4 linked regions of the Rhinolophus ferrumequinum genome follow. The protein of the gene in region 2 interacts with the protein of the main gene of each other region in a pairwise test. Links are inferred from orthologs where the notes say so. Each region holds a gene or a part of one and is shown on either strand. Other genes may lie near its edges.

Evidence for each region.
Region 1: the proteins of PPP1CB (region 2) and CSRNP2 interact in binary tests that used the Homo sapiens proteins (3 or more experiments, as listed by UniProt). The two-hybrid records come from large-scale screens. The link is inferred for Rhinolophus ferrumequinum from reciprocal best matches to the Homo sapiens genes PPP1CB and CSRNP2.
Region 3: the proteins of PPP1CB (region 2) and PPP1R3C interact in binary tests that used the Homo sapiens proteins (3 or more experiments, as listed by UniProt). The two-hybrid records come from large-scale screens. The link is inferred for Rhinolophus ferrumequinum from reciprocal best matches to the Homo sapiens genes PPP1CB and PPP1R3C.
Region 4: the proteins of PPP1CB (region 2) and PPP1R7 interact in binary tests that used the Homo sapiens proteins (3 or more experiments, as listed by UniProt). The link is inferred for Rhinolophus ferrumequinum from reciprocal best matches to the Homo sapiens genes PPP1CB and PPP1R7.

The regions. Positions count from the first base shown.
Region 1 is NC_046293.1:51,585,868-51,593,253, reverse strand, and holds the start of CSRNP2 (cysteine/serine-rich nuclear protein 2), read left to right. Parts: upstream 1-4,359; 5' UTR 4,360-4,723; intron 4,724-4,842; exon of another isoform or gene 4,843-7,386. UniProt on the Homo sapiens protein: Binds to the consensus sequence 5'-AGAGTG-3' and has transcriptional activator activity. May play a role in apoptosis.
Region 2 is NC_046296.1:52,233,386-52,241,410, forward strand, and holds the start of PPP1CB (serine/threonine-protein phosphatase PP1-beta catalytic subunit), read right to left. Parts: upstream 3,020-8,025; 5' UTR 2,885-3,019; intron 2,829-2,884; exon of another isoform or gene 2,643-2,828; 5' UTR 2,555-2,642; coding exon 2,503-2,554; intron 1-2,502. UniProt on the Homo sapiens protein: Protein phosphatase that associates with over 200 regulatory proteins to form highly specific holoenzymes which dephosphorylate hundreds of biological targets.
Region 3 is NC_046299.1:30,362,857-30,370,459, reverse strand, and holds the start of PPP1R3C (protein phosphatase 1 regulatory subunit 3C), read right to left. Parts: upstream 3,028-7,603; 5' UTR 2,914-3,027; coding exon 2,900-2,913; intron 891-2,899; coding exon 1-890.
Region 4 is NC_046291.1:514,755-521,670, forward strand, and holds the start of PPP1R7 (protein phosphatase 1 regulatory subunit 7), read right to left. Parts: upstream 3,028-6,916; 5' UTR 2,964-3,027; coding exon 2,912-2,963; intron 129-2,911; exon of another isoform or gene 77-128; coding exon of another isoform or gene 67-76; intron 1-66. UniProt on the Homo sapiens protein: Regulatory subunit of protein phosphatase 1.

The sequences.
Region 1 (7,386 bases), on a different chromosome or scaffold from region 2:
CGGCACAAATGCCCCACCTAGCTGCATAATTTATATACTAACTCATAGTGTAATCCTGCATCGTTCTGCTGCTGCTCCTAAAAATGCTCTGTTTTCTTAGTTGTGGGCTAACGCTTTTCTTCTAGAACACTTATTTTTAATTTGTGATTAAGTTTTGGTTTCATTATATGAGCTCCAAGGCTTAAATGAGGAAGAATTTATTACCACTGCAAAATGGAATGAGCTGGAAACGATGCCCTATGTGGTGTGAGATTAATGCCATCAGCACCTTTTTTTGTATAATTAATATTTTATTCCCCCCCCTTTTTATTTTTACTTTTTAATGATCTTGTATTTTACCTTTGACTTTCAACTTCCATCTATTTCTACTTCCTCCTTGTTCTTGCGTCTTTTCACTTCCAGATCTCTGTGTTGTTCCTTATGAGTATAGGCCTCTTGAACAAGTTATCTTGGAAATTGCAACTAAGTCTAACATTTGTATTCTCAAATTCAGAGATTTGAAAGTTACATATGAATTAAGTTTTCAGTTGGATTAATGTCAATTATAAGGGAACTTGCTATTTAAAAATACTAGTGCATTATTGTACTATTTTGTACTGTATGGAATCTTTTAGGAACTAGTTTATTATGTGAATCTGTGTTTTCATATTTGCATAAAATGAGATGCACATTCCTCAGTCACTGCAAAATCCTGTTTTCTTTCTGAATTCTAATGTCTGATTTTTCATTTAAGGATTTAGATAGTATCTTTCTCTAGACACCTTTGTAACTTATATAGATAGTATCTTTCTCTGAACATCTTTATAACTTTGCGTTAGACTTTCACTCACCTCCTTTAGGCTTATTAAGCTTGCCCTCTCTAAACTCACCACTGCCGTCCATCCCCTCAAACCTGGTTGTTTCTTTCCCTTTTTAATAGGCAGAGTGTGTGTCAGGACTGAGCCTCTCAGTGTGTGTTATACGTATATGTAGATCAATCTGTATGTCCTTTTTGAAATCTTTGATAAAACACAGCTTTTACATTGTTTTTAGATTGCTGTGGCCTTTTTCCTTAGATTTGCACATACTGATTTCTTTTGGTTAATAGGGATGGAATTAGTCACAAAGAGGTGCCTGTCTCTAGATCTGGATTATAATTAAGTGTATATTAGAAAGTAACATACAACTTCGGGGTTAAATCTACAAGTTTCCTATCCTAAAAATTAATACAAAGCCTTAGATTTTTATCTTAGTCTATCTGTGAAGCTTAGCACAAAGTATCCTCTGATCTATTCATTTTCAATCCCCACCCCACCCTCTGGAGAATGTATTCTTGTTTATCTTTTGGTGGTAAAGAGAAGTCCATACGGTATATACTTTGGTCTCAGATAACCATCTGTTCAAATCCCAGGTCTTGTTTTTCCTGGATGTGACCTTGAACAAAATATTCTCTTAAACTTCAACTTTCTCATCTTAAAAAGGAGATAATACTTAATTCACAGGGTTGTTGGAGAGATTGAAAAGGATAATGAGTATAAAAGATTTATTTTGTACATAATACACTTACTCAGTTGCTCAGTAGATTTTGAATACTATTGACTACATGTAAAGATTGCCTTTACATGTAAACGTAACTAAGACAGATGTATAAACACTGCCCAGGACAGGAAATCTGACCTTTGGTTTTTATCTGCAGCTACTGTTCTTGGTTGTATGTCTTTTCTTTTTAATTCTGCTTTGACGTTTTTGTCCCTAAAACAAACCACCCCTCAGTGATTGCATTTGAGTTGGTCCATAAATATGTAGCAGCATGGTCTGGAACAAAGCAGCAACATTGAGAATTGAATGTCCAATGTTATTATTTACATATTAATATTAGCATTTCTCTTTACTTTTCTTTGTAGTTTCTATTCTGCTATACTTGAGCTTCCTGGTCATTTGACCTCCATAGGCCCTGCTTAGTCTGGAGGCAGAATTGCAGTTATTATGAGCCAACTGGTACCACTGAGGTAACTTACCTAGTGATTCTATCAAGACAATGAAATATGGTGAATAAGTGACTATGGTAAGTAGTTGTGATGTTTGTTAGAGGTCCAGATGATAGTTCAACTGATCTAGAGCTTATTGCCAAATTGGATTCTGATATCTTAAAGAATGTTCTAACTTTCTTTGGCTGTCATCTAGTTTGGTATCATTAACCAACAAAGCTTGTGCACGGAGACTGATGGTAGGTACCCTGATAAATTTCCATGACTACTCAAACTGGATGTGTAGGCATATAAGACTCTTTTAGCCTACCCCCATGACTTTTAGGTTGGTTTTTGTTACTCAGCTCACTGATTCTACAGAGTGGTCTAGGGCCTTCTCTTCCTTTTTGTCTTCTGTGTGTCAAGGAAAAATAGAATCATGAACATTTACATAGCACTGTTGTAAACATTTTGTACTACATTAACTGTTTAATCTTCACAAAACCCTATGCGATACATAGTGGATACATAGTGTTGTCTCCATTATGCGATACATAGTGGATACATAGTGTTGTCTCCATTTTGCAGATAAGGAAACTAAGGCACAGGAAAGTTACATACCTTGTCAAGGGTTGCACCACAGCGAGTGGAGCAGTTGGAGTTTATATTGAAGCCTTCTGGCTCCTGGACCCATGATCTTTTTTTTCTTTTTTTAAATGGAGTCTATTTTGTTTAACTGTGCAAAGACTTTATATTGTGGCTGTTCGTTTTTTTATTTTTATTTTTATTGGGGATTATTGGAGAACAGTGTGTTTCTCCAGGGCCCATCAGCTCCAAGTCGTTGTCCTTCAATCTAGTTGTGGACGGCGCAGCTCAGCTCCAAGTCCAGTTTTCAATGTTTAGTTGCAGAGGGCGCAGCCCACCATCCCATGTGGGAATCGAACCAGCAACCCTGTTGTTCAGGGCTCGTGCTCTAAGCAACTGAGCCATCCGACCGCCCCCCGGATCCATGCTCTTGATCACATGTTACATCACACCTAGATTTCAGCAGATAGAGAGATGATCAGTATATGGTACCCTAAAGACTGCTTTTTTTGTGATCTGCTGCTTTTTCATTTTACAGTGTTGTTTCCTAGCCTCTTAGAGTTTCTGATGTCACCTAGAGGAGAGAACTGTAATTCTTGGCTTTTTTTCCAAGCTGCCCAATCTCTCAATTCTAAAACCAAGATGGCTTGGTAGCCAGTAGACCTGGCTCCATAGTTCTTGGTTGCAATGAAAAGTGCACTAGGCTTTGGAACCAGCCTAACCTGAGTTTAAATTCCTGCCATCCATCAATCCAATAATATCCAGTAAATATCTACAGAACTTATAAATGTCAAATACCAGGCTTTGTACTGGGTGCTGACGATACAGTAAACAAATTCCTTGCTCTCATGGAATTTAGTCAAGTGAGAGAAGACTGAAAAATATGTCAGGTGGTAAATGCTAAGAAGAAATATAAGGCAAGGGGATAGAGACTAAAGAGAAGCACCATTTTAGAAATCTGATTAGTGAATATCTCTGATAAGGGGACATTTGAGCAAATGGTAAGTGAGGGAGTAAGTATGATAGCTAGCTGGTGAAAGTATTCTAGGCAAAAGGCCCTGAGATGAGAGTGTGATTGTCCTGTTGAAGAAACTGCAAGGAGGCCAGTGTTACAGCAGAGTAAGGGAGGGGAGGAAACAGGATGACCTAGGATTGGGAGTGGTAAGGCGACAGGATGCACCTATATCTTGTAAGGCCTTATAGGTCAAGGAAGAAACATGCACTGTTTTCAGAGATAGGGAACCAAGGCTGGGTGTGTTTGGCGAATGACAGACATATGACTTCTGAGACTTCGTTTTTCCCATCATAAAAATGGGTTGCAAAGTTGTGAATATCAGAGATGATGTAAAATTGTCTTTGAAAGAAAACACTTAACCCGTCAATACATATTGAGATAACTCAATACATTGCTTGTATTGCCTATACCTTGGGTAGGCTGCAGCACGTCATGCTCTTTAAGATCCCATGAGTGAGGATAGGGGGATTATGTTCTTTAGGCATGGGAGTGTGGTCCTGGCGAAAGAAAAAGGGTAGCTTTAGAGGAGAATTCGTTTAGTCACTGAAGATCTGTGACTGAGGGTCTCTCCTCTTCTTCAAAAGGCTGCAGCGGCGCTAAACTCGCTTTCCCAGGGTCCCCTGCAGCAAAGACAGCCTCCTGAACCTGTTTGCTTGGCGAGTTTCGGTTTTGCGCCGATCGCCGCCTCCAACTCCCGTCATGCTGGTGGGCGTGGGGCCGGCACGTAGACTCCATTTCCCAGCCTGCCCCGGCGGTCGGTCTGGACGTGCAGGCGCCTATAAGAGCCAGAGCGCTGCGGCCGGAGCCTATTGTTAGCCGGAGCCGGGGCGGTTCTGGGCGGATGCTGCCGGGAGCGCCTGAGTTGCCGGAGCCGTCTGCCCTCCGCCGCCTGCCGGCCGACCTGCCCACCCACCCTCCCTCCGCGTCCTGCCGCCCTGGGAACTCCCCGACCGTCGCCGCGGTCCCGGGACTCGCGCTCTCCTCCCTCCTTCCCACCGGGCTAGGGCGGCGGCGGCAGCAGCGGGGGCGGCAGAGACCATCACGGGAGGAGGCAGCAGCGGCGGGGCCGGTAATGGGCCTGGGGGTGCGGGGCGGAGGGTGCCGCCTCGTCCTTTCTCGGGATCGGCCCTCGGGGGCTGTGGAGGAGTGGTCAACTCAGAGCCGCGCGGATGGAGGGGTCAGAAATGAGGGAGGCTTGGTCGGGAGCGGTCGGGGGGCGGGGAGCTAGGGCGCCGCTGGGAAGGGAAAGAGTAGGGAGAGGCGTGGGAGCGAGCGGCTCGGGGGACGCGGGCCCGGACTGCGGGGGCAGCTCGGGGGAGACTGATGGGCGCCTTGGAAGCCGGCAGGATTGCGGATGAGGGTTGAGTTCGGAATAGAGTGGAGATGCTGTAGGATGGAGGGAAGTGAAGGAAGGGGAGGAGGAATAGAGGAAAATGTGGGAGGAGTGGTTGGGAATTTGTGAGTAGCAGGCAGGAAGGGATGGGAAGGCTGGGTGGGGGCTGCAGACGATTGGACTGAGCGGGAAGGTTTGCAGGAATCAGAAATGGGCCGGGAGCTGAAGGATTCAACGGGGGTGTCCATTAAGGGGAACTGGTGGCTTGACATGTCCTTTCTGCTCAGGTTCCTGATGTCCCCCATTTTTCTGGTGTTGTGTCTGAAAACGAAAGCATCACTTGCCCTGGTTGCTAGCTTGATCTTTCTCACAGGCCCAAACACGCAGCTGACTGCCATCCATCCCTTTTAGTGCCCTGGTCTTGATTCATCTTTTTAAAGGGGTTTAGAGTGGCATTGTGACACACACATCGTTCTTCCAAATGAAATGTTAGAAGTTATCCCCAGGAGACACAGTGTCCCCTTGTCCTACGGTTTTCAGTTCAAGGTAAATCCAGAGTTGATTCCGATTTTCCTTTTCTTTACCGACTTAACATCTTGCTGATCTCCAAAGCCAGGAGGACGTTGGTGGGTGCCAGCGTTATAAATGACTGGATATCCTTGAGAGTTAATGGTCCCTGCAGCATCATGTTCCAGTTCTCCCACAAAGATCTCGTGTCCTCCATATGCCGGTAGTGTAGACAGGGAAAGCCAAATTCTAACCTTGTGCCAGTGAAGGGCTAAAAACCAGGGAACGAAGGTTGGAGGGGGACTTCCTGGTAATACCTAGTTTAAACAGGATGTTTTTGCTTGAGTGCTTTAAAGGTTCATGATCCTGGTAATCACAGGGACACATAGATCCACAAAATTCATAATTGAGAATCTACCACAATATAGTGTAAAAGGAGAAACAAGAAAGGTCACGCTTAGCAGCAAGCCTTCCTTCCTCTAACCCAGCTACAGATGGTATCCCTGAGACACTTACTAGAGATTTTGGTCCTTTGACCTTTAGGAGAAGATTGGGTTCCCGTTAAGTGGAGTCGCTTTCTCCTGTGAGATGTACGTTGTCTTATTATTTCGGACTCATTTAAGAGAGAGGGCTTTTATTACCTAAACTTTGCAAATATATTCTGCATCCACAAAATTTTGTGTGTGGGTGGGGTCCCTCTTTTGCTAGTCTCATGTTGGTTTGGAGAGATTGTTAATGGAATCCTCACAGGTCTGAAAAGGCTTAGATCTAGTACTAAAATACACATATGCTGTAGGTCTATTTTATTTGATGCTAGCCTACTCTCTTTACAAACTGTGGATCTGAATTATTTCACATACCTTTGGGAAATGGTCAGTAGAGACACTTGAGAAAAGACCATAGGCCTGTATCCAGAAAGTGGCAGCTGAACTTTCATTTTACTGGCATTTAAAAGCTTTCATAGAGGTTTGCATTATTTTCTTCACAAGCATTTGTTGTTTGAGATGCTCCCTTTGACAGTTAACTGTCAGTTATGACCTGCATTGCCAGTCTCACCTGATTATTTCTGCATGGGTTTAAGTACTGGGAGTACAAGTGTTTCTCTTAAACACACACATTGATCCTTTGCCAATGAATGAAGAGTTGAGAGAGGTAGGAATGACTGGTTTCTAACTGTGGTTTGAAAGGAGGTTGATGTGATACATTGGAAAGTGTGGAACCTATTCTAGTTGTGGCTGTTGCAAAAGAAGATCTCGTCAGGCCACTGTGGAAGGGCTGGAAGGGCTGTTCTTGGTGCCCAGTGAACATCTTTATGTAACAAGTCAGGTTCACACCAGAGCTGGGTTGAAATTTGAACTTACATTGGTTGTCTGGACAAAATCGATGGATTTTTTTTTTAACGGGTTCATGTCATAGAAAGTGATGCCAACAAATCCTGGGCAGAGTGAAAAGAGCTAAGTCAGTGTGGACATTATTTACACATACAGCCATAGATTATTCTCAGGTGTTTTAAGGAAAATAGTTTTCTCCTAAGTTTCACATCTTTTTTTCTTTTTCTTCCTTACCTACTTCCTATCATTGCCCAGAAAACACTATTCCAGAAGTGAAAGGAGGGAAGACATAGGTCAAAGGGCGAAGGAGAATGGAGCAATCCTGGCTGCACCAGCGTGCACAAAAATTAACCTAAGAGAAGTGATAATCCTGAGGGCAACTGGGTGAAGACAGTGGAGAAGTTTGATAATAAAGATGGTTTTGGACCAGACCCAATCCCATGTAGGGCTTAAAGAGAAATATTCAAGGGAACCCACACTACCGGAAGCAGAGGGAGACCCAGGAAAGAACCAGAAGTGCACATTCGCTTCCAGTCATAAATCTCTGAGGGCTTCTAGGCTGAGGAAAAGGCAACTTTCCTAGTAGCAACACCAGCTGGATTTCAATTAAAACTGAAGCTGGACTTAAGCCCTTTCTGAGAAAGCAGATTTTCGGCTCAGTCTGTTTTC
Region 2 (8,025 bases):
TTCTATGTACTTCGTAAACATGGCATCAATGATATGCCCACACACACACACACACACACAAAAACACAAAGCAAAACTCATAAAATATATTTACCGAAAGTGCTACAGCTGACTGGCAATTTAATATAATAAAAAATACAGAATCAACAATATTGTGGAACTCAAATCAACATTTTAAAGTGAGATCAAGCACTGCTAATTTCCACTCCCCCTATGTAGAGAAACTGTGCCCAATTGTAACTTGTATGTTCCTCTAATACTAACGAATTTTTCACTGTAGCTATTCTGCTAGGCAACTTTTACAAAATGCCATCACTTGAATTTGAGTTAAATTTAACTAGCATGTAACATCACTGAACATCAAGGCAGACATAAAAAATTTCATTTGAAGACTAAAAATAATTACTTATTAGAAACTCCAAGTCTGTTTTGGATGCCTTTTAACCGGTTTAGATTTTGAAAGGGGAAAGGAGAGGAGGAGCCTGGAGAATTTAAGAATCTCAGGGAGGCACTGTTAAACTAAATATAATTCCTGGGATTAAGAAGTAATGAAACTCTACTGATGGGAGTGTGTTGAACATATCAAAAGAGAGGAGGCTAAAAAAGCCTGAAAATCACTTGTTTATACTGGGAGGTCAAGTGAAGGGACTGCATCTTATCTTCAGATTCCTGGTGACTGGCACAAAGCAGGTCAATAAATGTTTGCTAATTTAAAAACAGAAAATGTCTAGACTAGGATTCTAAAAAAAAAAAAAAAAAAAAAAAAAAAGGAAAAATGATTGTTTAAAACCAGAACCACCAAACATTTAATTTGAATTCACAAAAACAAATGGAATCACTCACTTAGCCAATTTTTTCCCAATAACCTTGAATAATCCACTAGTGAAGATTCTTAAGTTATCTATAATCATAAAACGGTGCATTTGCCTTACACGGTTTCAGATCAAACATTTTAAAACACATAAGTCTACTATGTTTTATGCATATAAAGTATATAAATACGTAGGTATATGGAAAACAAAAGTGGAGAAGTTGAAATTTTAAAAAACATTGACATTTACAAGCCTAGTTTAAAATGTATAAAAATGATGGTGGGCCTAAACTTTCCCCAAAGTTAACAAGATATTAAAAATTTTAAATAGCTATATTTCCCTCTTACAACAACATACAATTACAATATAAAATTTTTGGCAAAGCAAATGTCTCAATATGTTCACATCTGTTAAAAGCCCACACACAGTCGTAAGCAGTGAACACTGACTGCAGGCACCAGGGGGCCTCCCAGGAATAACTTCGTAGGAAAGGAAAAGGTAAAGAAGAGTTCCTGGTAAAACTTTGCTTTTTATTAAGTATTAGACGGCTGGGCGGCCTCCACATCTGGAGCAAATATACTGTAGTTTGTACACAGAACTGTGAGATACCGACACTGGTTGGGAAAAAAAGGGAAGGAACTAGCGCCCCGCCCCCCATCATACAATCTCTGATGATTTTCCAAATGTTAAGTACAAATTGCTTCACTGTATCAATTACCTTCAGGTAATTTGAAAGCAAATAATAACAGATAGTGCATATGTAATCCTTGGACTTCTGGCAGAAAAGATTCTAAAAATTTTTTTAAGGCTCAATTTTTTTCCCTACACTCTCACAAAGCAATTAGTGATGACGCAAATTTCAGGGTGAAGGGATTCACTGGGAGAAGACCGCGATTAACTTTGAATATCTTGGCATCTCCATCTCTTTTTCTCAATCCCTCACCCCAACATAAAACCATTCAAAACAGAAGGGCCTGGGAACTTGAAAAGCTGCGAAGACTTTCAAAACACAAGAGAGGCTTTACAACAGACCTTTGCTAAGTTTGTGCCGAAATTAAATCCTGTTCAAACCTGTTAAATTCTCAAACTTGAAAGCCAATCCCTTCGGCAAACCTGTCTACGTATTCCATATTTCCTGCGTGCATCTTCAACTCCGTCAGTCTTTTTACTATTTTTTAAGCAAAATAATGGGAGGCACTCAACTCCCGCTGTTATCCTCTCCTTAAATAGAGTTCCTCCTATAGCATCATATAAAAATGCAGAACAGATCAAACAAGCATCTCAAGAAGGTTTTTATAAAATTCACTCACGGAACAAGAATAGGAGGCAGCCAAGGGCAATGCACAAAGAACAGAGAAGAAATACACGTTCCATAGACAATGCACGGAGCACGCATCCTGGCACCCTCCTTGGGAAGGGTCATCCAGCACCCCTGGTCTCCTCGCACCCTCAGGCCGGCGCGTCGCCATGCCAGTCCCCGAAGGTCCGGGGACACTGCCCACAGGGCCCGACCGGGCTGCCCGCCGGGACAGCCCCTCTCGCCCTGCCTACCCCCGGCTAACCAGCCTTTTGCAACCCTCCTCGGCGGCCGCCACAGGGCGGGAAAGGGGGTACCTTCGGGTTTCGGCGACCGAGGGGAAATGACTTAGGGAGGCGCCCCCTTTCTGCGGCCGGCCGGGCCCCCACTCACCCTCCAGCAGTCGGGTGATGAGACTGTCCACGTTCAGCTCCCCGTCCGCCATCTTGTCGGCAGCAGACGCTCCTTCCCAGCAGCGGGAACAAGGGCTTCTCGGCGGCGGAGGCTGCGGCGACGGCTCGGCGTTCCCTCACCTACAAGTCACGCGGCGTTTCGACCCCGGTTCCAGCTCCCCCTTTCCCCCGGGCCCTCCCCCCACCCCCTCCCCACCAAGTAGTGGAGCGCGCGCACTCGGAGGTACACACAGTAAATAAATAAATAAACAAGCAAGCGGAGCCCCCAAGAACCCGGCCGCGTCAGACCCAGCCGCCACCTCCTCCTCCTCCTCCTCCTCCTCCTTCTCCTTCACGGCACCGCCCAACTCCGCAAAGCTCACCAGCGCCGCCGACGGCCTCAACCGCAGCGACACTCACTCCACACCGCCCGGCCCGGCCACCGCGCCACGCAGCCCGCGCAGGCGCACGGCGCACGCCTTCGCGGCCACCCCTCGCCTCCCCGGCCTTCGCGCAATCGCACTGGACTCGGTTCTCCCGCCGCCGCCACCGCTGCCGCCGCCACCGCCGCCGCCGCCTTCGCGCAGGTGCGTCGCCCTCTCTGGCCGCTTCCACTGCGCCGAATCGACGAGGCAGCGCAGGCGCCCCGGAGGCTCCTGGGGTTTGCGGCGCCGGAGCTCCCATTACACGGAGCGCGCGTAGGCAGCTCTGACCTTCCCGCTTCCCAGCTGCCCAGGACCGGGAGCTCCGGAGGCATAGTTGTTCCCTTCCCGCTTCAATTTTTTTTTCTCGGCGTCATTCCCTGGTTTTGCAAGCGATTCTTCCTGTTTCCGTTAACCGGGAAACGCGGACGGCGTTACCCGTGTTTGAAACTCGGGTTTACGCGTTTGGAAAGCAAAAAGGGGTTACTCTGCGGGAAAACTGTGGCATTGTTAATAAGTTTTATACGATACCGTTCCACAAGGCTAGTTGCCCAATTGTCCTTGGATGACATAGTTACAGTAGGCTCCGCATCAGCAATAATATTTTACATGAGTACCACTTTCTGCGTTCTATAGTTTGCTTTCACATATCTTACATCTTCCGCTGCGTGGATACTATTTTTCCACAGTGCGTTTTTGTCCATCCCTCCGTTAGATTGCTTAATCATCCACCTTGTGATCGTGCATTTATCTCCTGCACTTGACTGTGACCTCCAGGGTAAACCCACCAACTGTCTGGCGCATAGAAGAGAGGGACAAAGAAATACGAAGGCTCAGAAAGGTTGTTTGTCCAGCTGTTCTTTCCACCACAGTAGTCTGCCTCTAGAAAGGCAGGAGGGATAGTGGGCATGCAAAGGATCTAGATGAGTCCGACTTTTTGCCCTTTTCTAGGAGTTGGTCAGACCAAAGGCCTTTTACTCATTCCTCAAGTACAACTTTGTCCAGAAACTCAGACAAGATGCTATCCGAAGCTCAAGGCAGTGCTTCTGCTCATGTATCATTCATAATAGCTACCATTTATTGAGATCCCTGTATGTGCTCTGGCACTGTTTTAGATGTTAACATGTGTTATCTCATTTAATCCTTAACACCAGCCCTATGAGGTAGGTATATAAATTCTGAAAAACTACTTAAATATATATATATATATATATATATATATATATATATATATATCTTTTATAAAATTGAGGTCATGCTTCATTTCCATTTTATCCTACTTTGATAAATAAGTTTTGGTGCCACATTTACGTGAAACTCAGTGTTCAAAGTTTATCTGTACTTTGGATAAGAAATTGAGGACAGAGGAAGAAGTAAGGGGTGGACATCCGGAGGCTGCAGGTAGCAGCCGCAATAGTGGCAGTTGGGACCACAGTAAGGTTCAAGAGTAGGTGAGTAGGTACCAAGGGGAGAGAAGCCTCGTGTGGCAGATACACTGAGGAGGCTCTTGACTGAAGTGTGAGCACTGACCTAAGGGCAGAGTGGAGGTCATCAGTTAGGGAAGCCAACAGTTTAGAAGCAGAGACAAAAGAAGGCTGCCAGTGGTGTAAGAGACATTGGCTGGACCAGGCACCATGGTGAGCACTCAAGCCTGGAGACCAGCAGACCGTGGAGCAGCAGACTGGCAAGTAGTGGTTTTGATTGCATGCATATAGGAAACTGCCTCCTACTCTTTTTGGACATGTGAAAAGACTTAGAAAAGGGATCAGGGTAAGGTATTGCTCCTTGTTACACTGGGATTGTTAATCTAACAGGTGGAAGGGCAAACTATTATCTGGGACTCCCAATCCAGTGGGCTTTAGATAGTGGTGTGTTGGAGCCAGTTTACTTTGGCTCATGAGAACCACTTGTTAAAACTTTTAGGAATTTTGCAAGCCAATTGTTAAACAGAGCTATTATTTTAAAATTAAATTATATGGACTTACAAATAAATTATACAGTACTAAAAACAAAGGTAATGATTACTCAAAACATCACATCCTATTTATGTTGCTACATTTTACTATTATGTATGGAAGTTGTTTGCATCTGTTTTATCTCTATTGTGGGAATACTATATAATCATATGCTACTATGCATCTCTTTCCATCTCCTTGTTCAGTGACATCATGTTGACCATGGTGGGAGTAGTTACACCAAGGAAATTAGCACATGCTACAAATCTATAGTTTTTTCACCAGGACGCTGGTTGTTAAACATTTACCGCATGTCAATATCCTTGGGTAATTTTAGAAATGTCTGTGCAGGGAAATTGGATGTCCTGATTGCAAGGGGCTTGGGAAATCTTGATGGTGGGTCTTCATAAAATCATGATCTTATTTGAACTTAATAACAAGAAATGTCTGGGACATGCCAGTGCCCATTAGCTAAAGACAGACCAGTGCTTAGAGGAACCCAACCATCACTGTGCTGAGACCAGAGAGATGTTTCTAGGGATTGTCCTCAAAGAAGGCACTTTGGAACACAGGGAACAATAGTCTCATGATTTATTTTTTGTAAACACAGCACAGACTTTCATAGGGATGTTTTATATGCCTCTCAATATTGGTCAGTGGCCAATATAGTGTGAAAGTGAGTAGGTTTTAATAGCAAAATGTGGAGGTTGTGATAGTGATAGCTCTTTGCTGCCTGACTAATCCAAGATAGCTTATAAATGCATGGATGGATATTCATTGGGTTGTCCTTCCATAAATGTGATACCTCTTAATCAAGTCTTTAATAAGTCTTAAGTGGCAGTAAGTTCTAAATTTTACCAGATATACCTGGAGGGCAGCCATTCTGTATATCAAATGTCTTTGGCTTTTGTAGTCAACTCAATTCCAGGATATTGGGAAACCAGACAAGGATATATGCTTCAGTAGAAGCCTATCCCTCAATACAGAACCAGGCCTAGGTGGTATACCTGGGCAGTGCGAAGATTTTTCCTTAAGATTTAGTTTTGCTTTCATTTCAATACACATATGAGAAAATCATCAACTGCCGAAGTTATCAGCTAGGTCATAAAGCATGTCCTCAGTTATTTTATTTTTAATTGGGGAATATTGGGGAACAGTGTGTTTCTCCAATTCCCATCAGCTCCGAGTCGTCCTTCAATCTAGTTGTGGAGGGCACAGCTCAGCTCCAAGTCCAGTCGCCATTTTCAGTCTTAGTTGCAGGGGACGCTGCCCACAATCCCATGCGTGAATTGAACCGGCCACCTTGTTGTTGGGAGCCTGCACTCTAATCAACTGAGCCACCTGGCCGCCCCTCCTCAGTTATTTTTGCCCCCAAAATTATAAAGCCAGATATAACCAAAAGCCTCTTCTCCCTTAGCCAATAATAGCAGCCTGCTTCCTCCCCACCCCCACCCTCACGCTTCTGACTTCCCAACGTACACACAGACTCTCACTGGAGCATCATCTCTTAAGTTCTCTAGTGTATCCTTCAAGATAAAATGACTACAAAATAAATGCCTGATAATTGGAAGGAGTTAACTGGCTGTATAAAACTGTTAACTATAAGGCAATTAAAATTGATGGGCAGCTACCACAAAGGATGACTGTTAAATTTTTGCAGAGTTGATCCATGGCCCTTCTTTTTCTTGTAATTAGATTACAGGGCCAGCTGTCTATTTAGGTCATTCCTAGTTTGTTACAATAAAACCATGTCATCTACATACATGAGATTGTTTCTCTTTCAGTGCTTTCCCATCCTGCTCTTTCAAACAGATACCAGGAAGTAACTAAAGGTGTTTGTTGGTGAAGAAAAGTATATAAAATGTGACATTGTGTTTCAAATAAAACAATTTAAATACTTTGTTTCTTATGATGGTTGCTCTCCTCATACAGTATATCCAAATTATGCATGAGGCACCTTTTCAGTTGGAGAAAGTTTATTTCTGAATTGTTTCATAAGACTCTGTTTCAATTGGTTTTAGTAAACAAGCAAACAAAGCCTTATTAAGTTTTCTAATGTAGTTATAAAATGAGTAATCTCTTCCTTAAGACCACATTAAAATTAATGGCATGTAAAACTAAAACTAAAACCAAATGTGTCTGTGAGCTGTGAAAAATATTTATTGCAATGACATCCAACACTGTAGTCCTTTTAGGTAGGAAACACTGGTTAAATAGACTATTTATGAATTATTATTCAAATGTTGATTTAAAACAAATCCAGTCTATTGTAAATAAATTCTTAATTGAAATGCCCCAATGGTATTTGTTATTTAAAGAAACTTACAGTGACTAGACCTTGAAACCAAAGTGAATAATGAACCAATTAAGTATTTATGAAACATTCAGTATGTTTGATTCCATGCTGGGGAAGACGTGATCTTCCCAACTTTTAAGTGATTTAATGACTATGTGAGGAAAAGACCACAAAACAATTTGGAGAGTGGGAAAAGCATTGGCTCAGAGGTAGGAGACCAGAATAATTGAATAACTGTAAAGAAATCTCTCTATCTTTCTGAACCTTGGCTTTATTACCTACAAAATTAGTCCATTGATAAATGATCAAAGTTTCTTCCAGCTTTAACAAGTCTTTGATTCTGGGAAACACAAATGAAACCCAAAATGTAACATAATATTGTACAGGCCGTCCCCAACTTAGGAACTGGATCAACTCCAAAAGGTCAATTGTTTGGAACACAGAGTATATTTTCCCACAGAGACTGTGGTACAAATGGTGGTTAAATTCCCAGATCAGTCTGCAAAATCAATTTAATCCTGAATGTAACTGTAGAAGAGTATCCATGGTAATATGGACTCTAACCACCAATTATAACAAAGTTTATGGGGAGAAGCCATTGAGGATTCTAATTTGGCATGGCAGAAACCATCTATCAGTGTTTGCCACCACCCTGAGCAACAGGTCGGAATACAATTCTAGTTCTAATTCACAGGCAGACTGGGTACTAAATGTGAAACAAAGACTAGTCTGGTAGCTTGGACAGTGAGGGAGGCTCTGATACCTTGGATCCAATAAGGGGGGTGGGGAGGCTGAGGGTAGTTCATGGTGTCTGGGGGTTTGGTTGCCAGGAAGAAGTTGGCTCCAAACCA
Region 3 (7,603 bases), on a different chromosome or scaffold from region 2:
GGAAGAGCCCGCTGGCCAGCCTAGGACTGCCAAAGATTGTTGGCTCTGACTCAGTCTTGGGTGGCACCCGGTGGAATGCACTGTCCTGCGATGCCATCTGTGTCTGCACGCCATCAGGTTTCCACTGCACATGGACAATTCTATAATTCTGACCCTCATTATTGTCCCAGAAGACCTGCCCATTAGCATGGTAAGAAATGCAGAATTCGATCTGCTCCTCAGTTGGAATGACAGAGGGTAAGTCAATGGCAAACGAGAAGGTGTCACTATCTGAGCCTCCATACACATTTTTCATGTAGGCACAGTCCACATTGGTGTAGCTTTTCCAAGTATCAAAGGTAATACGGATCTGAACCTTCTTCTCAAAGCTCACGTTTTTCACTTTCACTGTCCCAGTCACTGTTCGCTCTTGCAGAGAGCAGTTCTCCAGACACACAGAGTTCTTCTGAAAGTGGTTCCGAAAACTTAAGTAATCAGTCGAAGGCTGAGGGAAATCTAAAATCAAGTTTTTCTCCTCGTGGAGTTTTAAGCCCGAAGACAGATCATTAAGGTCCAAGAGATCAAACTGCAGATCCCACGCTGGTTCTTCTGGGAGGTCAGAGAAGACATGGATGGCGGTGAGAGAGAGGCCCTTGGAGTCAGCAAACACAACCCGTTTCTTGGCTTGGTTGTGCGAATGCTTCCAGTCATTCTGTGATTTGGCTTCCTGTTTTATATTGAGACACGGTTTCAGAGGCTTTAATTTGTTGACAAAATTTCGTCGTTGAAAGTCATCATAAGGGCCCAGGAAACTCTTCAGAGGTGGCGAATGAGCCAAGCACAGCCTCATGGCCACATCCACTGGCATGACCGAACTTGTCAAAGGCCGTGGATCTAAGACCTGGATCATCCTGGAATACAAGAAGAAGAAGGGTTATCACCTGGATCTGGAATGTTCTTCCCCTGGTCCCAAATATATACTATTTTTGTGTTGGCTAAATTATAGCCCGCATGTATCAGGAAGGTGCTACCATATGTAGCAAAAGAAAATATTAGACAGCTCTACCCTTGACTGGCCACAAGGTCATAGATTAACAGCTTAAAACACTTGGGGGGGAGGGTGTCTCAGTTTCAGCATCTGAGAAATAAAAAGGTTGGAACATATAATCTTTAATACAGCTATAAAAACCACTGGCTCTGTTCTCAACCAGGGCTTCTCAAACCTGTCTGGTCATAATGGCTTAGGGAGCTGGTTTTCTTTCTTGCTTTCTTTCTCTTTAATGCAGATTCCTAGCACTAAGAGCCACTAAGGCAGAACCTCTGGGGTGAAGATGAAGAGATACATATGCTCTTAAAGCTTCTCTGGTGATGCTAATGACCAGACAGGTTCTGGAACCAAAGTTCCAGACTCAGTGCTCTCTCTGGCTGCTTTGCTGATTTTGCTGCTGAATTGATCACCCTTCTCTGAAAAGGTAACCCACTTGAAAAGAAAAAAAAAAGCAATAAAAATTCTCATGAAACAGTTTTGAGAGTGAGAAAGCTGGAAAGCGTGAAGTCAGGGGGGTTATTATATCTGCACTTTGGTTATCATTCTCTTCCTCATTTCCCACAAAGGACCAATTGAAATGTAAGCTAGCAATGAATGCACTTAAAGAAAAACCTGACATAGAATCTATGTTTCATATAGAAAGACATCCATGACGAGTGCATACTTAAGAAGAAAAAGCTGATTACCTGAAAATTGGACTGTTTTTAATATATATTATATATGTATGAACTTGTAAATGTATAAAAACAATAGAAAATACACCAAAAAGTTAATTATTTCTGGGTGATAGGATTGGAGGTGATCTATTGTCTTGGTACTTTTTTTTTTTTTTTGGCATTTTCTAATGTTTTGGCAATGGATATTTATACCTAGCAAGATAATAAAGCTCTTTAAAAATTTAAACATAACTATGCTCAGCAATATTAAATTAAGAAGCGTCCATCAAGATCAAGATTTTTTGTTTTGTTTTTTTCCTGGCTCTTAGCCCTCAGTACATATTGCCAAGCTTATGGACTTTTTTCCCCCTATCCTAGCCTTACCGATAAGAGGTGTGTGTATATTGTCTATGACATTTCTTAGTAACTCTTCACAGCAGCTCTAAACATGCAGGCAAATGGTCATTATCACAAAACGAATAATAAAAGGACATTCACAGAATTTATCAGTCCTTGGATTTTTCTGGAAGACATATAAACTTCGAACAAACAAATGAAAGCTGCAGCTATATTTGTGGGTCTAATAATAGTTAACAGGCAGGATTTTTGGAGAAATTTTCTGCCAAGTTATGTCTAAGGAAGCGATTTAAAGTAGTTTTGTGTGAGGTTTGTTTTGTGGGTTTGCTTTGTAATTTATTTTTTGCACTTATTGAAAGACAGTTTTAGAATTTAGCGATTTCCCTGGAATTTTAAGTCCTGACCAAGAGTTCAAAAATCATCATTTGCTCAAAGTCTGAGACTGCGTTTACTATGGCCAACCGTGGTAAGAGCGGATGGGGACGAATCATAGACCTGAAGTTTTTCTCCCATGCTACACTACACAACCAGCAATGTCAAAGTGTTGTTCCCACAAGTTAAGAAGCCTTGGGACATCTGTGCAGGACCAAGAGATAACAAACAGTCCATAATAGAATCACTACTACATCTGACTCCTTAAACCAGCTTCTGGTTTAAGAGGCGGATTACCAAAATCAGCTCCGCCTAAGAAACACAGAGCAAATCTCTACACCTCCGAGGCTTCCCGGATGCCAGATTCAACACAACAGTCAGTCCACTTGGCCTCGCGTGGAGTCTCCATTTGCAGAGAGGACCGAAGGGAAACGCAGCCCAATCTCCCCGCAGCGGCGCGCACCCCTCTCGTCCCGAGTGAACCTACCTGGTGCAGCTCATTAGGCAGAGAGGGCAGCGGACCAAAGGAGGTGGCACTCGCTGCCTGCGCAAACTCGCACCCGGTTCCCAGCTGTCCCCGCTGGGCGGCAGCTCCGGCGGATTGTGGGTGCGGCGCCGGAGAGGGCCCCCCTTATCTGCTCCTGACCACGTGACCCAACTCCTCGGACCAACCAGCGCCCAGCTGGGGCGCGAGCCCTCGCGGGGAGTACGTGACCGCCGTGGTGCTGGAGTTGCAGGGCTGGAGGCGGGGGGCGGGGTGCTTGGGGACTCCCCCACCCCCTTGACTGAGCTAGCCCCGGGCGAGGAGACGCGACGGCAGCACCGCACGTAGCGGGTGCTGGCGAGGGGAGAAAGCTGCAAACCTCACCCAGGCGAGGCGCCAGCTCAGCCGGCTCCCGGGAAGGAGATGCCTTTGGAGTCTTGAGGAAGGAGTCTGTACACAGTTAGATCTGAGCACAGAGAGCTGTGGATAGTTCCAAATGTATATAGTATGTGAAATGTTTATATTGTTCATTGCTTAGTGCGCCCGCTCAGCTTCGCCTGAGTAGTAAAAAGCTGGCTGCATGTGTTTTGGTGAAGGTGAATTTACAAATGCACCAGGCAGTAGAGGAAGGCTGCCGAGAATCAACCATCTATCTCTGACAAACGTTGTTAATAAAGCATGAGCATGCGAGCCCCATAAAACAGTGAGGTAGCATTTAATTATAAGGAACTTTTTATTTCGATCTATTTTTCAGTTTTTCTCCCTGGAAGAGAAAACTAAAGCCAGAAGTGAAATGTCCTTTTTCACTCACGTGGCCGGTCAGCCACAGAGCCAGTGGTCAACCCAAATCCCTCAGCTCACTTCTGACATCATTTGGCAGTGATGTGGAAACCAAAATGTTAAAATACCACACTGTAAGTTTCCTGACTCTCTGAGCCAGTTACTTTCACTGAGGTTTCGTTATTTTGTTTAGTTTGGGGAGTTTTTAGACCATCAATCACAACCATAAAATTGAATTTCTAAGTAGAGTATGGATTATTTTTTTAAAACCCACCTCCTACTTCTGTTCTATTAACTTGGATATCCAGGCATCAATTAAAATGTACAAAAATCCTTGTGTCTTTTAAGTAACTGTCAAACAGTGAAATTGTTAAAGTGAAGTAATTAGAATGAAGAAAAAGAAACTCATGTTGAATATCACTGGGGAAGATAGTTCGTGCTTGGGCCTGAATTTTGAAATGAAAAGTCCAACTATAGCAGATTCACTAGCCCCTCAGCCCAGCCAAAACTAGCTGAAAGGACATAATCTGGGTTTGACACTTGCTAGATACTTTCCCATCAACAATTAGAATGATAGAGGTGGAAGGTACTCTAGGTTATCATTGGCTTCAAAGTCCTTATTTCACAAATGAGGAATCTAAAACTCAGAGAGGCTGCACTGCTTGCCAGAGACTGGTTAGGTCAGAGCCCAAACTAGAACACTGGGTCGAGATTTTTTCACCACTCATGATCGTATGTTGAGCTTAAAAAGTGGATATTACCAATTAAAGTTATGGAGAAACATAAAATAATAAGAATGTGTTGTGATCCCATTTTGGGGGAAAGGTGTGTATACATAGATAATAGAATATGCTCTACCAAAATGTTAACAGTGCTTATTTTTGGATGATGAGGTTATGAGTAATTAAAAATTTCTTTGTCATTTTGCTTCTCTGTATTTTTTAATTCTTCTACAATGAACATGGACTTCTGATTGAGAAAATGATTAAGAAATGATTTTTAAAGGACTTTAAAACTTTTAGATTCAGCTAACATGTATAGCCTACCTACTAGGTGACAAAAACTGTGTTGGCGCCACACACTCATGTCATTCACTCGTACAGTCCGTTGGAGTTTGCTCCTCAACATTCATGCTGCTTTCTCTCCTGCCCCCTGGTGCTGACTGGTGCCATAAAAGCCACTCTGAAGTTCCTAAAAATAGAAGATCAGCAAAACAGGGCTCTCTCTTAAGAAGAGTCAACACTCAATAAACCTCTAAACTGGATGTTCCAGTCCCTCTCTCTTTTTTTTCCACCTTCATTGAGATCTAATATAACATTGTGTAAGTTTAAGGTGTACAATGTGTTGATCTGATACACTTATGTGTTATAAAATGATTACCACCAGAGCATTATCTAACACCTCCATCATATCACATTATTACCATTTCCTTTTTGTGGTGCGAACATTTAAGATGTATTTTCTTAGCAACTTTCAAGTATATAATACAGGATTATTAACCATGATGTACATTAGATCCCTGGAAGTTTGTACTATTTGACCATTTCCCCATTTCCTCCAGCCCCCAACCCACAGCCCCGATAACCGCTATTTTACTTCCTGTGTCTATGAGTTCAGCTTTTTTAGATTCTGCATATAAAAGGTGTCATACAGAATTTGTCTTTCTCCATCTGACTTATTTCACTTAGCATAATCCGGCCCCTCACTTGTCTCCTTCCTGGCTTTTACTGCCCTTCATTATGGGCTGAGAGGCATTGGGATGGAATCAGTGTTCTTAGGAGCTGCACCAATGAAGAACGTAGATTAGGAATTGTGGGGAGTTTTATTATTATTTGTAGATTTTCTCCAGCTGTGTTTTGGCAGTATCCAAACATTGCGTTGTCCTACTTATCTCGATAATAAATCTACTAGTGAGGGCATATTGATCTATACAGTGTTTCCAGCCATGCCAGGGGTTACAAGGACTCATAAGTCACAGGCCTTTGACCATAAGGATGTTACAATCTTTATTACAAAAATACAAGTTTAAATTCATGAAATACCCAGGGAACATTTTAAGGAGCTACAAAGCAAGGGGGTCATGATTGTGTGGCTTACACAAGTGGCTCTCTTACAACATTCATCCATTATATTTCCAGAGATGTGCCCTTGTAGGAAAAAAACACCCTGCGGGAGGTTCCCAGGTTGCCAACTCCTTTTCTGCAACCTTGCCCTTTTTCTCAATGCTCAATTTGAAAGTGTTTGAGAATTCAACCTTCTAGCTATTAATATTAAAATGTCAGTACTTTAACCACATTTAGTAGAATGAACCTCATAACTGAACTTCATTACCCACAGTATAGTCAGTGAGGTTGAAAATTGCTCATTTGTGTGTGTGTGTGTGTTTAATTATTTTTATTTGTTTATTTTTGAAAACTGCTCATTTTGATTAAAAGGACTGGCATTTCTATTTTTGAGAGCAGAGAGGAGCCAGTTCACATGTCTCAGTGAATAGTAAGCTCTTAACACTAATTTCTTTTTCCTTCTTTAGCCACATTGGATGGGAACACAAATATTAGGTGAAGGAGTATAATTTGAAAACATACACACACACAGTGATTACTTTGGGTCAGGCACTGTTTTTAAGCACTTTACAAATATTAACTCATAATATTTATAAGAATCCTATGAAGTAGAAACCATAATGATTATCCCCATTTTACAGATGAGGAAACTGAGGAGGCTTTGGGAGTTTAAGGAACTTGTACAAGATTACACAGCTAGCAGATGACAGGACCAGGTTTCAAACCCTGTTAGAGTCTATGCTCCACATATGACTTGCTCTGGAAAAAACAAGCACCACACTGGTACCTACCAAGACCAAAAGGAAGCTCTGTAGAAGCCCAGAGAAATTCAGACAGGTAGGGCTCCCTGTGGAATACCTGTGGAAGCTTCAAGGAGGAAGTGAGACTTGGGAAGGCTAGGAAAATAGGAAGCATTTGAATATGGCAGAGTTTCATCTTTAGAGCATTCAGATGACAAGAAACCAGCTATGGGGCTCAACCAATGAGTAAATGAGATCACAATTGAAATGGTGCCAGCAGCTCACCATTCTTTTTAAGTGACATAATCCCAGAGGGCAACAGAAGAAATTAAAAGTGTTGCTGAATAGACTATGCTATCAGCCATTCAGTTTGCTCTGAAGGAATTTTCAAGTGTAATTTACACTGCCTGAAATTTTTTTAGTTTTTACCACATTACACCACTTTTAAACATCCTTGTAAGAGAGCAATTTGGATCCAGGTGTGAAGCACGATTGTTGTCACCAACAGTAAGTGGTTAAAGAAAGTGCAAGCACCGCCTGAGACATATAAGGGGTCTCAGCTGAGTTGAGGCAGAAAGAGAAGAGAGGGGAACAAACAAAGGATGATACACTTGGCCTCTCTAGTAATCTGTTGGGAAGAAGGACGTAGAGATAAAAAAACAAGTAACCGTGCCAGGTTGGCTCAGTGGTAAATGGGCTGTGTGAATGTTATACACATTTGCTATATGTGCTTCCAGATTTCCTATATGTGAAAGGAGAGGCCTCCCGGGCCAGGTGGCCACAGAGGATCAGGACATGTAAGGTAACTGCTAGGAGAGAAGTTTGCCTAGAGGGGAGGCAAACTTTGCCTGGGGGAAGGGCCAAAGGAGAGAGAATCTTAAGTGTTACAATTTGTTTTTAAAGTCCCCTGGATGGTATTGAACAACATTAGAGAACTGAGTGCTACAAAACAAGTGAGCAAAGAATGAAATAATCTAACTGCAGGGGAGAAATCATTCTCACGTGTCGATAATTATTTCTCCAAGTTGCTGCAGTTTCTCCATATTCATTGAAGGATTAGGGTGAAGAAATGTATATGGGACCTAAAAGTGTGAGAAAGGACCTCTGAAGAAACCTTTAAACCA
Region 4 (6,916 bases), on a different chromosome or scaffold from region 2:
ATGCTGACACGTAGCGAAGCCTGCACATTGCGAAGAGGGGACCATTGTGACCCTCCTGCCACATACCTTCATCCATGCTCCACTATCCATTTGGCCAAGAAAACCAGCCCAGTTCACAGGCCCACGTTCTGAAAGAAATTAAGACTAACTCAAATCAGACTGTGGGTGGGGGGGCTCTAACGAGACAGGAGAAGACAGCCAATAGTGCTAAATGCCCCACGAGAAGGTCACAATGCTAACTAACACCAGGGCATAGTGATGGCAGCTCAAAGCTCTGAAAGGCTGGTAAATAATGTTTTTCGAATAAACACGGCAATGATTACATGGGGCAGACTGATAAAAATTCATTGGCAAAACTGTCAGATAAGTTTCCTTTCTCCTAACTTTTTCATGACCTCTTTTGGAAGTCTGTCTGGAAGCCCTCAGGCACTAACAGCTTCCAAGTTTCCTGACTACAGCTTATCTCACAGGAGCGTGCTCTTTGAGAGGGAGACGGTCTAGTTCCAATTTGTATCTCCCGCTGGGCCAAGTGAGGAAGCACCCAGGAAAGGACTGCTGGATGAAACACGTCCCTATGGAACCCACCTCCAAAACCTCCAAATCCATTCCTTCTTCCCTGCCCCCAGCAACTGCCTCGGCTCAGCTACTCCTCACCTGTGGCCTGGGCTCCTGCTGGGCCTCCTAACTGGTCTCTCTGTGGCTTGTCTGGCCCTGACTAATCTATTCTCCATTGCCAGAGTCTGATCTGATTCTAAAACCCAAATCTGATCTGTGACTCCACAAAATTTCTGGAATACCAATGGCTCTTCCTGACTTTGCATCTTGCCCCTAGAGACACAGCTTTGGCAGTTACTTCCTTTTCCAAGCCTCAGTCTCCAAATCTGCAGAAGGGAGCTGGTATAGTAACTATATCTCAGGGCTGCTGTCAGGATTAAATTAGATAAGGCACAAAAGCAGTTAGCTTTTAATAAATAAAAGCAGTACACAATTAATTAGTTACAGGTACCCCTGCTTTTCAAAAGTTCACTTTACACCACTTCATTTTTAAGAAAGACTTATATTCGTACCTGTTATCACTAATGAAAGAAATCTGAAGAGGAATTTAGTTTTTACAAAAAAACGTGAAAAGTGAAAATAGCATTGTTTTGTTTTGCAGAGAGCCCTAAAAGAGGCAGCACACACCCCAGTGAGTGGCACCACTAAGCCTAGACCCAGGGCACCTACACCCAGCGTCTCAGCATCGAGCTGACATAGCTTTGAACTGTATCTGTGAGCATCTATGTTTTATCTCAATTTTGTGCATCTGCAGTAAGTTATGTCCTAAGGTAACTGCTTCTTTGATTTATGCCGTTTCGGGTTTGAAAGGTTTTATAGGAACGTTCTACTTTGAGATACTGGTAGCAGCGGAAACCTGCCTGCACTGCCATTCCATGCACTCTGTGGTCAAGGCTAAGAGCAAGTTCTACTGGGTTATGGATGTGGCTCGGCCCAGGGCGGAAGGGGCTTAGCTAAGGAAGAGCAGCCAACATGAAACCTGGGATTCTATCCTGAGGGTTGCAGAGTATGGGGCAAGTGACAGAGGACCACCATGTGAGGCCCTGGGGTCAATGGGCTGGCTCAAATATTGGCAGTGGGAACGAAAGACGTTTGAAAATTTGGAGATTTTAAGGAAGTGGAGGCGTCAGAGCTTCCTGACCAATGGATGAGTGGGTCCAGAGAGAGAAATGCCTGGGGTTTTCGTTTGTCATTTACTAAGGCATGGAAGTGGTTGGTGGGTGAGGAAGAGAAAAAGGGGACAGGAAGAGGCACTTCCTTGCTTAAAAAGATCCAAGGGTTTCAAAGTCCAGGACTTTTCAAATGCTTCCCCCCCACCCCCCACCTTCTCTTGCCAGCTTCACTGGCACTCTCCACCCTCATCCAAAATGACTGTCATCCTTGGTCAAGCTCTCCTCCAAACAGGTCTGGATCTCTCACAGCCCTTTGCCTGTGACTGTGTGGTTTTCTTCCCCTGAAATGACCTTTGATCTTTCCCCCACCCCCAGCCTGGCCGAACATTTAAGGTCCAACTTGGAGCTTTGGTTGTGCCGCCTTCACTGCTAAGTACGCCAGCTCTTCCTTTATGGCACCCCACCTCCAACCCTTTCTGCTTCCTTCTTACCGGCATTTACACTCGAGTGGCTGGCTGCTCTCCTGGAGCTCTGTGTCCCCCATGAAACCAGCGCAGCCAAGAGCACATCAGTATTGTGATAGAACTGACTCTCCAATTGAGTGTGTGTGTGTACAGTCGTATGCACATATATGCATATAATTTTTTTCAACAAAGTGAAAGAGTTGAATTTAGTCCTCTCCTAACTGTGATAACTTTGCAAACAGGCACCTGCTGTTCTGTAACAGTCTCTCGGCTCCCTGTCACCCCCTTCTCCACAACCCATTCGCTTTCGAGAGGACCCTTCTCGAAATGAGCCTTCACTAATGAGCCAGCGCGGGCAGTTCCCACGGCGCCCTGCGCCTGTTTCCTCGTTAGTTGCACGGGGACCCCGAGGGTCAGGCTCAGAGGTTCAGTGCGAGGCTCCAAACAGAGGGTGAACGCCCGCGCTGCGGGACTACGGCGCCGTCAGTCCCCAGCCACCCACCCGCCCACCCCGCTCATGCCGCCGCTCTCCCCTCGATCCTGGGTCGGGCGCCTCCCGGTCCGCCCGCGCCTTCCCGGCCGCTGCCGCCTTGGCTCGGGGCCCCCAGGGCCGCCCCCGCCCCCGCCCCTCCGAACCGGCTGGCAGCTGTCAGGGGCCGCACGGCAGGGCCCGGGCTGTGGTCGGAGGCGGGCAGCCCCGTTTCTCTCGGGCAAGGTCGGTGCGGGCCGCCACCCCCAGCCTGCTGGGCCTTTCGGCCACCGCCCTGTGGGGCCGCTCACCCTCCATCATCTCCTGCGACTGTTGCTGACCGGCACCGCGCTCAGCCGCCATGTTGGCTGCTCTTCCCCTTTCCGGAATCTGTCGCCTCAGGCCCTTCAGCCAATCAGGGCTCCCAACTCAGAACTCACCCAGCCAATGGAATCCCAGCGGAGGGGACTGAAGCCCCGACGCGCCTGCGCGGCCGCAGAGCCTCACGGTTAGTTGTAGTCCATCCGCGAGGTCGCGCGCCCTCAGTCTCCGCGCCGGCCGTCTCACCTCCCCCGGGCAGGTAATTTGAGAGCGCCCCGGAGGCGTCTGGAGGCGAGGAGCGGGAAGGAGGACTGGGGCAGTTGGGGCTGCACGCACGGAGCAGTGGCTGCAGGCAAGCGGAGAGAAGAATCTGGGAGATGCTCTGGGCTCGTAGCGAGTCTCTGCGTGGGGCTGCAAAGTGCGGGCCTCCGCAGAGGCGTCTGTACAATGGGCCGACTTTGTCTCGGCGTCGCCGCGCGGACTTAGTCCGAGTGAAGGGGCCGCCTCCAGTTAACGCTCAGCGCGGGACGGGCTCGGCGCCAGGGCCGGGGCCGGGGAGGAACTCCGCCCGCAGGTGCCGGGAGAGCCGGTCGGGGCCCGGGACGCCGACCCACCCACAGCGGGCGCCGCAACCTCCGTCGGCCCTCGGCCCCGCGGGTGTGCTTGGCCCGTGAGGGAGCCGCCCCTGCTGCCCCAGCCTCCAGGGCGAGGCTGCTGAGAGGCGAGCTTCGCGCTGCTCACCCTTCTCGATCCCAAGACCAGAGGAAACGGTGTCTGCCGTACCCGGCTGGCGGGCCGCCGTCTCTTTTGGCTCCTCGGAGGCGCCGTAGAAGGAGTCCGGTGCGTCCTTAGCAACCGTTAGCGCGGGCTTCTCCACCCCGGCTCGTTGAGTCCTGCCCACAGGCGCCAGTGGTTGGCCTATGGGGCCTGTCAATTGGCGTGAGTTGCTCCGCGATTGGCCGGCGGGGCTGGAGGCGAAGATCGGCTTCCTCGCGGCTGGGTGAAGCAACCGGCCGGCTGACTCGTCCCCAGGTGAGATGCCTGCGCTCCTGGGAGTCGACCCGGGCTCCGCAGGGTCCTGCTGCCCGACCCCGGCGAGGCCCTCGGACGAACCAATCCGAGCCCGGTGCCCCCGCCGCTGCCCGCTTCTCCGTGCGACTCCCGCCGGGGTAGCGGCCCGGCGCCCAACGGCGGTTTGTGCCGCTTCGCGCCCTGGGGCCCTGGGCGGAGCCTCTCTGGTCCTCAGCGTCTGCGCCCCGGCCCCACCCCACCCGGCGCTCAGTCCTCAGCTGCAGTTAACTGTGTGCGCTTTGTAGTCACTATTGTTGCTTCTCCTGGAAGGTGAACTCCAGAATGGAGACTGCCCTCCTCTATGCTGGGGACGGTGCCTGTTATGCAGGACTTTTCAGTAAATATCTGAATGCGTGAGCTGTGGGGTGCAGCCCGGCTTCTCGACATCTCCGCTTGGAGGCCTCCAAATACCTGGGCTTTGTCCGTCACCTTCGCCTTTTCTTTTCCAGAGAATGGCAGTGGCCTGAGCAGAAACCTTGGGGTGTGGGCTTGATGCTCCTCATCCCCTCATCCCCGTACCTTGCACCTCTCGTCACCCAGTAAGTCGACGGCAGCCATAGGTCGAGTTTTGACTTGGCGGTTCCTCTGGCCGTCTTTCTGACATCGCTTATTTTAAGACCTGCTAATACCTTGCCTGGATTACTGTAACTTTTCTCCCCCCTTCTCCCCCCAGCATTGCCCCTGGAGTGACCTTTGTAAACTGGGCATCTGGTCATGTTCCCGAGCATGGAGCTCTTTAAAGTCAATGTTAGGGACGCAGTCCGGACTCCTGGAGGAGGCCCAGGAGGCCCTGGGAGTCGTGCTGGGCTGCTCCAGGCCCATCTCCACCTACTTTCCTGTGTGTGGACTCCTCCCCAAGGGCGCTGTGGGCACCTTTGCCCTGTGGTGGTTCTGCCTGGAAGGCTTCTTCACAGTGCCAGGCTCAGCTCTGCCAGTGTTCCCTGGAGGAAGCCTTTGCTGACACCCTCCGTTACAACAAATCCAAAACAATATCCTTCATCCCGGATATTGTTTGGATGCCTGATGCCAGAAACAGAGGTGCAGTCTCAGAACGGCTCTAATGGTGAATGAAGCTGTTGGCCCCCAAACCTGAAATCCCGAGGAAGGCTGGTTTTAGGGTGGGTGTATCCAGTGCCCCACGTGGCATTCTTGCCATTTTCTGCTCTTCTGCCCGCCATGTTGGCTTCACCCTGAGGCTGGTTCTACTCGTGGTTGTACAGCAGTGGTGGGAGAGTTGGAGCTGCTTGTTACCTGGCTTGTGGTCTGGTGGCAGGAAGGTGGTTGGTTGCATCCAGAAGTTCACCCATGAGAGGAAGGAGTACTTTCCAGAAGCTCCCTGCAAACCTCTTAGAAATGACCTAAGGTGATGTGAAGCCAGGCTGTGCTGTCAGCAGCCAGCCTCTGGCCATGGCGTGGGAGGCCCTCGTCCCTGTGGTGTGGAGTTGCTGTGCAACGCTGAGTTGGCGGGGAGGGACCCCCCCCCCCACGGCACAGAGAGAAAAGGACCTGTCCTTCCTGTATTCACTTTTTTTAAATTAATTAATTAATTTTAAAATTTTTTATTGAGGAATACTGGGGAACAGTGTGTTTTTCCAGGGCCCATCAGCTCCAAGTCGTCGTCCTTCAATGTAGTTGTGGAGGGCGCAGCTCAGCTCCAAGTCCAGTCGCTGTTTTCAGTCTTAGTTGCAGGGGGCGCAGCCCACCATCCCATGCGGGAATTGACCCCACAACCCTGTTGAGAGCTCGCTGCTCTAACCAACTGAGCCATCGGCCACCCCCATATCCACTTCTTGATTGATCAATTGTCGGCACTATTGACTTGTTTTCATGAAAGATGACATTTCTTGTCCTTATCCTCCCTTCACATTACCTTCCCTTCTCTCCCATTTGTTATATTACAAAGTGAACTTTTGTAACATTTACAATGTAGTCCAAAACTAGTCAAGTCTTCTGTGCTTTGTCTATAGGTTGGTTGTATAAAACATCTTAATATTTTAGTGTATACTAGCTGATTCATACAGAAGGAGAAATGCAATATTAGTCATGAGTCATGACAGTAAAGTGAACTCATTTAAACTCACCACCCAAATTCGGAACCAGGGGACCCTGTGCTATTCCAGGTTGCTGCTGGACCCACAGAAGAAACCTCCTGCCTGAAGTTTATCACTTGTGGGTGTAACCCTAAAGGATTTGTTTAGATTGGGGGAGGTTATAAAAAGGGAGCCTTACTGTTGATAGTTTGTTGTAACTTGGTTTTTTTCACTTTTTATAGGGCCAACATTTATCCTTGTAGTGTGCATAGAATTTTTTTTCACTCTATAATTCATAACAGAATTTACAATCTATTTTCTTGCTGCTGAATGCTTAGGTTTATTATTTTTTCTTTTTTTCTGTTCACATTGTGAACCATGCTGTCCTGAACATTCTTGTGTTTGACTTGCTACCCATGTGTAAGAATTTCTATAGAATATAAATGTAAGAGTGGAATTTCTGTCAGAGTAGGCAAATGTTTGACTTAAGTTGTTTCCTAAAGAGGTTCATTTGTTAGAATTCCCCTTGAGCCGCATCTTTATCGATGTTTGGTGTCATTAGAATTCTTGATTTTTGCTGATTTAGGAGGTATAAAATTGTGACGATTATGGTAACAGAGAAGCCTGTTGTCATAGGCTTGCTTGTTGGCCGCGAGGGTTTCCTTTTCTGAGAAATTCTTGTTCCTGTCTCTTGTCCATTTTTCTATTGGGCTGTGTGTCTTTTAAAATTTTTTAAATTTTAAATTATTGACCTTTTAATCTCCTGGATATTAGTTATCTGTTGGTTATTCACGTGGTGAATATCTTCTCCCACATTGTGACTTATCTCATTTTCTTTATGACACGTTTTGTGAGCAGACATTCTCAACACCTAGTGTGCGGCCGGGGTCCAGG